Linked DNA regions of Callithrix jacchus. The protein of the gene in region 1 binds, or shares a complex with, the protein of each later gene. Links are inferred from orthologs where the notes say so. Each region holds a gene or a part of one and is shown on either strand. Other genes may lie near its edges.

Region 1 (3,808 bases):
CAGTGGCTGATCTTGGCTCACTGCAACCTCCACCTCCCAGGTTCAAGCGATTCTCCTGCCTTAGCCTCCTGAGTAGCTGGGACTACAGGTGCCTGCCACCACACCTGGCTAATTTTGTATTTTTAGTAGAAGTGGAGTTTCACCCTGTTGGCCAGGCTGGTCTTGAACTCCTGACCTCAAATGATCCACCCACCTCGGCCTCCCAAAGTGTTGGGATTATAGGCATGAGCCACTCTGTCTGGCCCAGAAAAAGGAATCTGTAGAGGCACTTTGGTTATATACAGAACTTGGCTTTGAATACTTTTCAAAAATTTTGAGCTTAATAAACACATTTATACAACAGAAATAAACTGAATGTCTCAGACATCTCAATCTTATCCCTGAGAGACTTGGGAAGTTGTGGAAAAACATATTTGTTTTTTATACTAAGATGACATCACCAACCCAATATCAACAGATGGTGCCACTTCTATCATCGGTCCTACAGCCCCACTAAGCCCACCTGCATCTTTCATATCCTGCGTCCTGACACTTTGAGTGCCTGAGCCCAGAGACTGGTGTCTGGCTGTGGGACTGAGTTGGGTCTGTGCAAGAATTAAGCCAGCCACGCTGATCTTGGCTTATCTCAGTGAACTCACTGGCAGGGTCAGGTGGCCCACCTTGTACAGGTGGCAGGGAGGGCTTCAGTTCAGCTGCGTGTCTGAAAACCAAAGATTTAAAACATAGTAATTACTGAACCTCAGAAGAAAAGCTCAGACTGAAAGGACTTAGAAAATAAAACCCTTTTTGAGTTGCCGAAGGTGAGTACTTAGATTTTTCACTCACTTTGTTTGGGGTTACTTCCATCAGTGTTTTATGTTCATCAGATATAAAGGATTCAATTAGTTGGTGTGCAGTTAATAAAGGTGTCAGCCACTATAGGAGTAAGTCGGATGGCCAGCCCTTTTAGATTGCTTAATGTAGAAACACTGAGCTGGGCACGGTGGCTCACGCCTATAATCCCAGCACTTTGGGAGGCCAAGGCAGGCAGATCACTGGAGTTCCGGAGTTCAAGACCAGCCTGGCCAACATGGTGAAACCCCATCTCTACTAAAAAAAAAAAAATGCAAGAAAATTAGCCAGGTGTGGTGGTGTGTGTGTAGTAGTCCAAGCTACTCAGGAGGTAGAGGCAGGAGAATCACTTGAACCAAGGAGGTGGAGGTTGCAGTGAGTTGAGATTGTGCCATTGCACTCTAGCCTAGGGGAGACAGTGAGCCTCTGCTTCAAAAAAAAAAAAAAAAAAGAAAAGAAAAGAAAAGAAAAAAAGAAACAAATGCTGGTAATACAGAAAAACTTATAACAGGACCTAGAGTTAACCAAGATTTTCTTGCTTTATCTGAAAAAGGCTGCCTGGGGACTCAAGGGCACAGACTAAGGGCGACAAGGAGGCTCTCTAGTTGTGTCACTAGAGACCTGAAAGAACTCTTAGCATGCAGCATGCATGCGATACATTCCAGCCTGCTGCTTAGACACAGCTGTCCTGCAGCTTTGCCACTTGCCTGGATGACACTGGCTTTAAGTACAGGGTTTCCATTGTGAAGTCGGAGACCCTGGCTAAAACAGGGAGCCATGAACATTATATTCTGAAGAAATTACATCTTATCTTGATCCTGAAAGTCAACTACAAAGGGTACCCAATGCCCCAACCTTGAGAAGGTGAGATAGGTAGGGAGGAGAAGGTGAGTGGGGTAGGAGCGATTCCTCAGGGTTCTGTTCCCAGTCAGGAGCTCCTGCTAGTTTCCTCAAAGACCCATTTTGCATTCAGACATATCTTTCCTTCTAATAGTATAAACAATCAAAAGTTTACTGAATGTCTAAAATATACTTTTAAAATGGAAAGCATGGTGAACTCCAATCTGCTGTTCCTCAACTCAACCCATCCCTTCCTGCTGTACTTAGATCTGCTTTGGAAGGGACAGACCTGTATGAACACTCTTCCGGTATTTGATTTTTCTATCTGTGCCAGTGGACTTCCAAGTTTGTTTTTTCCATCTCATGCAGGTGTATTAGGCTGACATATCTATGACAAGTGGTAGGTGGTATTTTAAGAAAACTGTGTCATCGTCTTCAGGTAACAGGAATGTATGAGAGTTGGGTACCAAAACTTGTAGCCGCCCTGTACAAGAGAGAACCAGACTCCAACGTCATCGTGGTGGACTGGCTGTCACGGGCTCAGCAACATTATCCAGTGTCTGCGGGCTACACCAAGCTGGTGGGACAAGATGTGGCCAGGTTTATCAACTGGATGGAGGTAAGACTGGGAGAAGAAGACTTATGTGTCCAAAACAATGTTGTTGACTGGAACCAGACAAATGGCTGTTCTTTCTTCTTTTTCTCTTAGATATAAAGATATAAATATTTTCTAGGGTCAATTCAGAACTTCAGAATGAACATGGGTATTATTTTATAGCCAAAAGCACCATTTTGATAAGAACAGTCTATAAGGACAATAATAGTCCTACAGTGCTCTATTGTTTGATATTTTCATAGTGAATAGATCTGCTGAGATCAAGAACTAAGTGGGCCCAACAGACAAAAGCTTGTGATTTCAGGACAAAGGAAAGATGGTATGTCCCGCCAAATCCTTCCCCACCAGTTGGCTGGCCTGTGGACATTTTATCCTCGCCTTGATATACCAATCTCTTCTATGAAAACATTAGTATTTATTCTTTAGTGTGGAATAAGGATGAATATTTTTTTTTGAGCATTAGAAAGTGATGTAATGGAGCTAGGAAGATGTTGGAAGGGAAGGTGCATAGGATAGAAGGGAACTGAGGTCGAGAGTTCTGACTTAGCTGCAAGAGATCCACTTTTTCAGACCATTCCCTAAAAAGTACCTCTAAAAAGTATGCTGGGAGGCCGGGCGTGGTGGCTCAAGCCTGTAATCCTAGCACTTTGGGAGGCCAAGGCGGGTGGATCACGAGGCCAAGAGATCGAGACCATCCTGGTCAACATGGTGAGACCCCGTCTCTACTAAAAGTACAAAAAATTAGCTGGGCATGGTGGCGCGTACCTGTAATCCCAGCTACTCAGGAGGCTGAGGCAGGAGAATTGCCTGAACCCAGGAGGCGGAGGCTGTGGTGAGCCGAGATCACACCATTGCACTCCAGCCTGGGTAACAGGAGTGAAACTCCGTCTCAAAAAAAAAAAAAAAAAAAAGTATGCTGGGGTTGGAAGGAAGCGAATACTCTGACAGAGGCAAATTATTTTAACCAGGTAGTTGGAAGTAAAAATAAGCTGTATTTATTAGACTGGCCATCAAAGGACAAAAGTTCTTTTCTTGGTTCTTTTGCTGACCAGGCAAATGAACACCGGCAAATGGGATCACCTTTCTGGGGCTCAGGCTTCTCACCAGTTAAATGAGGGGCTGGACCATGTGTCTCTGATCCTTCCTACTGTAATGTTTCCTGAGTCTATCATTGCTTGGCTAACCTTCCGTGATAAAGTGATACAGGTATTTAGAGTAGGGAATGATGGGAAAATACATACCCATATACTACATACACAAACATATACACATACACATACATGCATACAAATGTGTATATGTTTGTACATAGAGTATATGGTTATATATGCAAATGCATACACATATACAAATATGTATAGATATATTACATAATAAATAATGCTATTTCAGATGCTTGGAAAGCCTTTGTAATTTAAATCTGTTATTAAAGAAAGAGAAAATCTATACTGGATTTGTTTATGCAAAAGTGAAAAAAAAAAGAGAAAATTGCAACACTAGGCAATATCTTCTCTCTTACCT
Region 2 (3,908 bases), on another chromosome or scaffold:
CTCCCACACCGCTGTCCACCTCCGCATTCTCAGCTGTGCCCCCAAAGCCTAGCCTGCTGAGACTTCGGTACCCGCTGCTCAGATGGGCTGGTGACCCCAGCTTGGCCCTGGGAACTGTGCTATGCACGTGAGCCTGTGTGTTCAGGGCTGAGGGATTTCGGGCCAGGAGGGTGAACTTTCCCTTATCACTCAGCTCCCATGACAGTTCTGCCCAGGCTCCTGCTGTGGGATGGAAGACCTGGCAGTGAGTCCGACTCAGTCCTGCCTGCGGGAGCACCAGGCCTGGCAGAAGAGGACCTCACAGGGGACACCTCGTGGGTGTGTGGGTTGGGGCTTGGGCTGAGGGCAGGCCTGGGGGCTCTGGGGCGGGGGTGAGCTGGGTGTGGTGGGGCGTGCTGGGAGCCCCGGCTTGAGGGGCCAGCAGTGGGTTGGATGCAGCAATTTGCTCTGCTTTGTTCTTCGGATGGGGGAGAGCAGAGGGTGGCCCCACTGTGCAGGGGGCGTAGGAGTGGACGCTGAGGGTGGGCTCTTACTAGCTCCACTCTGCTCTGCTTTCAGCGCTTCCCTGGCTCCCCAGCCTGCAGCAGGCAGTCCAGCCCTCCCCTGCACAGGGCTGCCCACCTGCTGCTCCCTCTGCCCCACCAAACTGAACCCAACCCTGGGGCCCTGCACCTGCTGTCTCCCTGGGCCCCACTGAGCCCTTCTCTGCCGGGTGAGCTCCTGTCTAACTTCTACATCCTGGCACCACTCACTCCCAGTTGGTGGCTTCTTCCTCTGTTCCCGACTCTGGAAGGCAACTGAATGTCATGGTGACTGGGAGAAGTGAGGGGTGCGCTGGGCGTCCCCCACTCTGCTGGAGGTAAACTCACAGCAGGGCTTTGGCCTGTTGGCTTCCACCACAGGCGGGCTCCCAGAACGCTCCAAGCAGAGCAGGGCCCTGGGGTCGGGTGGCTGTACCTCTGTCCCTGCCACCAGGGAGCCTGTCAGTCTCCTCTTCCACCTCATCCTCATCTTCCTCATCGTAGCCATCTGGCCTGTAGTCCTCCTCCTCCTCCTCCTCCTCCGGCTCTGCCTGCCCTCTCCCTGGCGGTGCAAAAATGCTTGTAAGCCTCAGCTACCCAGATACTTGGGATACCGGCTCTGGGCAAGTGTTGTGCTCCCCACTCCTTGGCACCCCCCACCTCCACAGGCCCCAGGGCAGCCTACCTGGTGTCACCTCTGGCCCGCGCATGCCCTGCTCACTGTCCTGCAGCCAAGCATGCCCTGGCATTGGCGGTACAACAGCAGCTGCTGTGGGCTGGCACTTTATGATGGCCCCTCCTCACACCCCACGTAAATAGGGCCACAGATGTTTGGGGACTCTCGGGGGCCCAGGTCAGCTTCCATTCATGCCCCTCTGGCCTGGGGGCTCCCGCCTCATCCCCTCCTTCTCCCTAAGCCCCTGCTGGGGGTCCCTGGAGGTCCTGCTCCGGGACTGCGCCTGCTGCCCCCCACCACAGGGTTACCCTTTGCTCTGTACCTGGCCACCTGCATAGAAGCAGGACAAGCAGGACAGCTCCAAGCACCTTCATCTCGCCGGTCGCTGCTGTGTCCCTGACTCTGAGTCCTTGTGTAGGGCTCTGGAGCTGCGGTAAGTGGGATGAAGGGCATTGCTGGGGGCTTCCCAGTGGCCCCCACCAGCTCCAGCCTCAAACAATGGGCCTCACACTGGTCCCCAGCTCCAGGCGCCAGGCCAGGGACTGTCGTTTCCCTCCAGGACCTCTGGGGCCAGAGGGGAAGGATAAGTCATTGTGGTTGGCCTTGGAGCGTCCTGTGCACCTGTACTATGGCGGCTGAAGATGGTGCTGGCCACAGGAGCTGCTGGCCCTGCCCTGGCTTGCTGCTCAGTGCCTCAGCCCCGCAGGGCAGGACAGGGAGTCTCGCCTCTGATTAGGCCATGCCTGATACCCCCAACCCCGTGTCTGGGCTCCACAGCCACAGGAGCTTGGGTCACAGACCCTCTATTTGCCAATCACTGGCCAAGCATCTTCATCCCAGAGCCAGCATCCCACCCAGGCCCCTTTAAGAGTGTTTAGATAAAAACAGTCAATGCCCGCAAGCTAAGGCTGTGTATTCACCTCTTCCTCACCCCCACTCAGCAGTGTGTTTGCTGGTCCTGAGGCCTCCTGACTGCCCCTCACTTCCACCTCCAGCCTTTGCCCCTGCTGTTCCCTCTGTCTGCAGTGCTGTTCTTGCTTGTGTCCTGTGGAGAGCTTTCCAGAGCTGCTGAGCCTGCTCCCTCGGCCTCCAGCTGGGAAAGCCATCAGCCTTACCTCCCTTCTGGCCTTGTGTGAGAGATGGCTGCTCTGGGAGAGGCTTGGCACCCCCAGGCCTCTCCCTGAACCAACCCCCTCCACCAAAGCGGATGCAGAGCCCCTAGGGGAGGATGCAGAGGGTAGAGTCCAGGCTCCGAGCTGCCCCTCTCCCTAGTGCAGCAGAGGGGTGGGGCAGCAGCCAGGGTTGGACGGGAGCCCGGAGCCAGGGTCAAGCCTGCACATCTGTGTGCTTTGGAGCTTGGGCCATCCACATCCCTCTGGCCTGGGGACTCCAGCCACATCCCCTCCTTCTCCCTAAGCCCCTGCAGGGGGTCTCTGGAGGCCCCTGTGCTCCGGGACTGTGATCGCCTTCCGAGACCTCAGTTTCGCCGACTTTCAACGGGTGGGGTGGGGCATTTTCTGGCCTGCCACCTGTAACAGAGGTTGAGTTGGTTCTGGAATGAGCCGCCTGGGTTTAGGACCAGGTTCTTCCTTCCCCAGGCTTTGGGTCCTGGACTAGCCCCTTGGGTTTGCCGGGTTTCAGCTCCTTCATGGGATGAGGTGACTTGCTGGGCTTAGGGCAGCGCCTGAGGCTGGGAATACCTGTCTCTGATGTCTCAGCCACCTTCGCTCATCTCGAATCTGTCATTCTTTCCACTCCGCGGGCACCCACCCAGCGTCCAGACCTTCCCAGTCCAAGGCTGCAAGGCCACTTTCCAAGCCAGGGTCGCCCACAGCGGTGCTCATGCGGACACACCCCGCAGGCCCCATTCTCTTCATACCTGGTGCCATTCCCCCCAGCCCAGCCCCGCCCGTCTGCCTGTGGTCTCACCCCAACCTGCCTCCCAGCACCTTCTTGCTTTCCGCCCGCCTATCCCACTGCCCCGCCTCCCTATGGATTCACCTCCCCACGGACCCGCCTCCCCTGAGCCCTCATCCAGCCCCGAATGGCCCTCTCCCTGCTTTCCCCAAGGCCCGCCCCGCCTCCCCATCGCTCCACCTCCCCGTCGCTCCGCCCTCAAGCCCGCCTCCCCATCGCTCCACCTCCCCGTTGCTCCGCCCTCAAGCCCGCCTCCCCATAGCTCCACCTCCCCGTCGCTCCGCCCTCAAACCCGCCTCCCAATCGCCCCGCCCCCCCATGCCGCACCTCCCCCGCGCCTCGCCTCCCCGTCGCCCCGCCTTTCTGGCGCCCCGCCTCCCCACACTCTACCTCCCCATTGCCTTGCCTCCCATTCGCCCTGCCTCCTTGTCGCCCCGCCTCCCCCACGCCCGCCTCCTTGTCACCCCGCCTCTCCGTCGTCCCGCCTCCCTGCTCTCCGCCCCGGCTCCCACTACAGGCCCTTGAATCTAGTGCTGCAGGAGCTGCTCCTAGGAAGGGCGCTACTGGGGTTCTCAGGACTGTTGAGAGCAGGGAGTCTCCACCTGCTGCCTCCCCTCTCCCGGGGCCCAGGCCCTTGCCCCTTGCCTCCCTCTGGGCCCAGCTTCTCCTCAGCCCAGGTGCAGACTGCCCAGCCCAGGCCAGGGCTTATTGCGGAATCACCTAAGGACAATCAGAGCACATTTGATTCGCAGATTGAGTTAAATTTAGTGCTCGCAGCTGAGTGGCTGTTCCCT

Evidence for each region.
Region 2: the proteins of LPL (region 1) and GPIHBP1 are in contact, whole or in part, in a crystal structure (PDB 6OAU), measured with the Homo sapiens proteins. The link is inferred for Callithrix jacchus from reciprocal best matches to the Homo sapiens genes LPL and GPIHBP1. Residues at the interface, in NP_000228.1 of Homo sapiens: Tyr367, Gly368, Thr369, Ala371, Glu372, Glu374, Leu403, Met404, Lys406, Lys430, Lys440, Ile443, Cys445, Ser446, Arg447, Glu448, Val463, Lys464, Cys465, His466, Asp467, Ser469; in NP_835466.2 of Homo sapiens: Cys68, Lys69, Ser70, Leu92, Ala94, His95, Gly96, Asn97, Thr98, Glu99, Ser100, Leu103, Thr104, Thr105, Ser107, Trp109, Cys110, Thr111, Asp112, Ile117, Lys119, Val121, Glu122, Thr124, Val126, Met128.

What each region holds. Positions count from the first base shown.
Region 1 is NC_133514.1:21,539,553-21,543,360, reverse strand, and holds part of LPL (lipoprotein lipase), read left to right. Parts: intron 1-2,110; coding exon 2,111-2,290; intron 2,291-3,808. UniProt on the Homo sapiens protein: Key enzyme in triglyceride metabolism.
Region 2 is NC_133517.1:54,364,776-54,368,683, forward strand, and holds the start of GPIHBP1 (glycosylphosphatidylinositol-anchored high density lipoprotein-binding protein 1), read right to left. Parts: upstream 2,332-3,908; 5' UTR 2,304-2,331; coding exon 2,118-2,303; intron 1,626-2,117; coding exon 1,520-1,625; intron 1,084-1,519; coding exon 958-1,083; intron 798-957; coding exon 753-797; intron 1-752.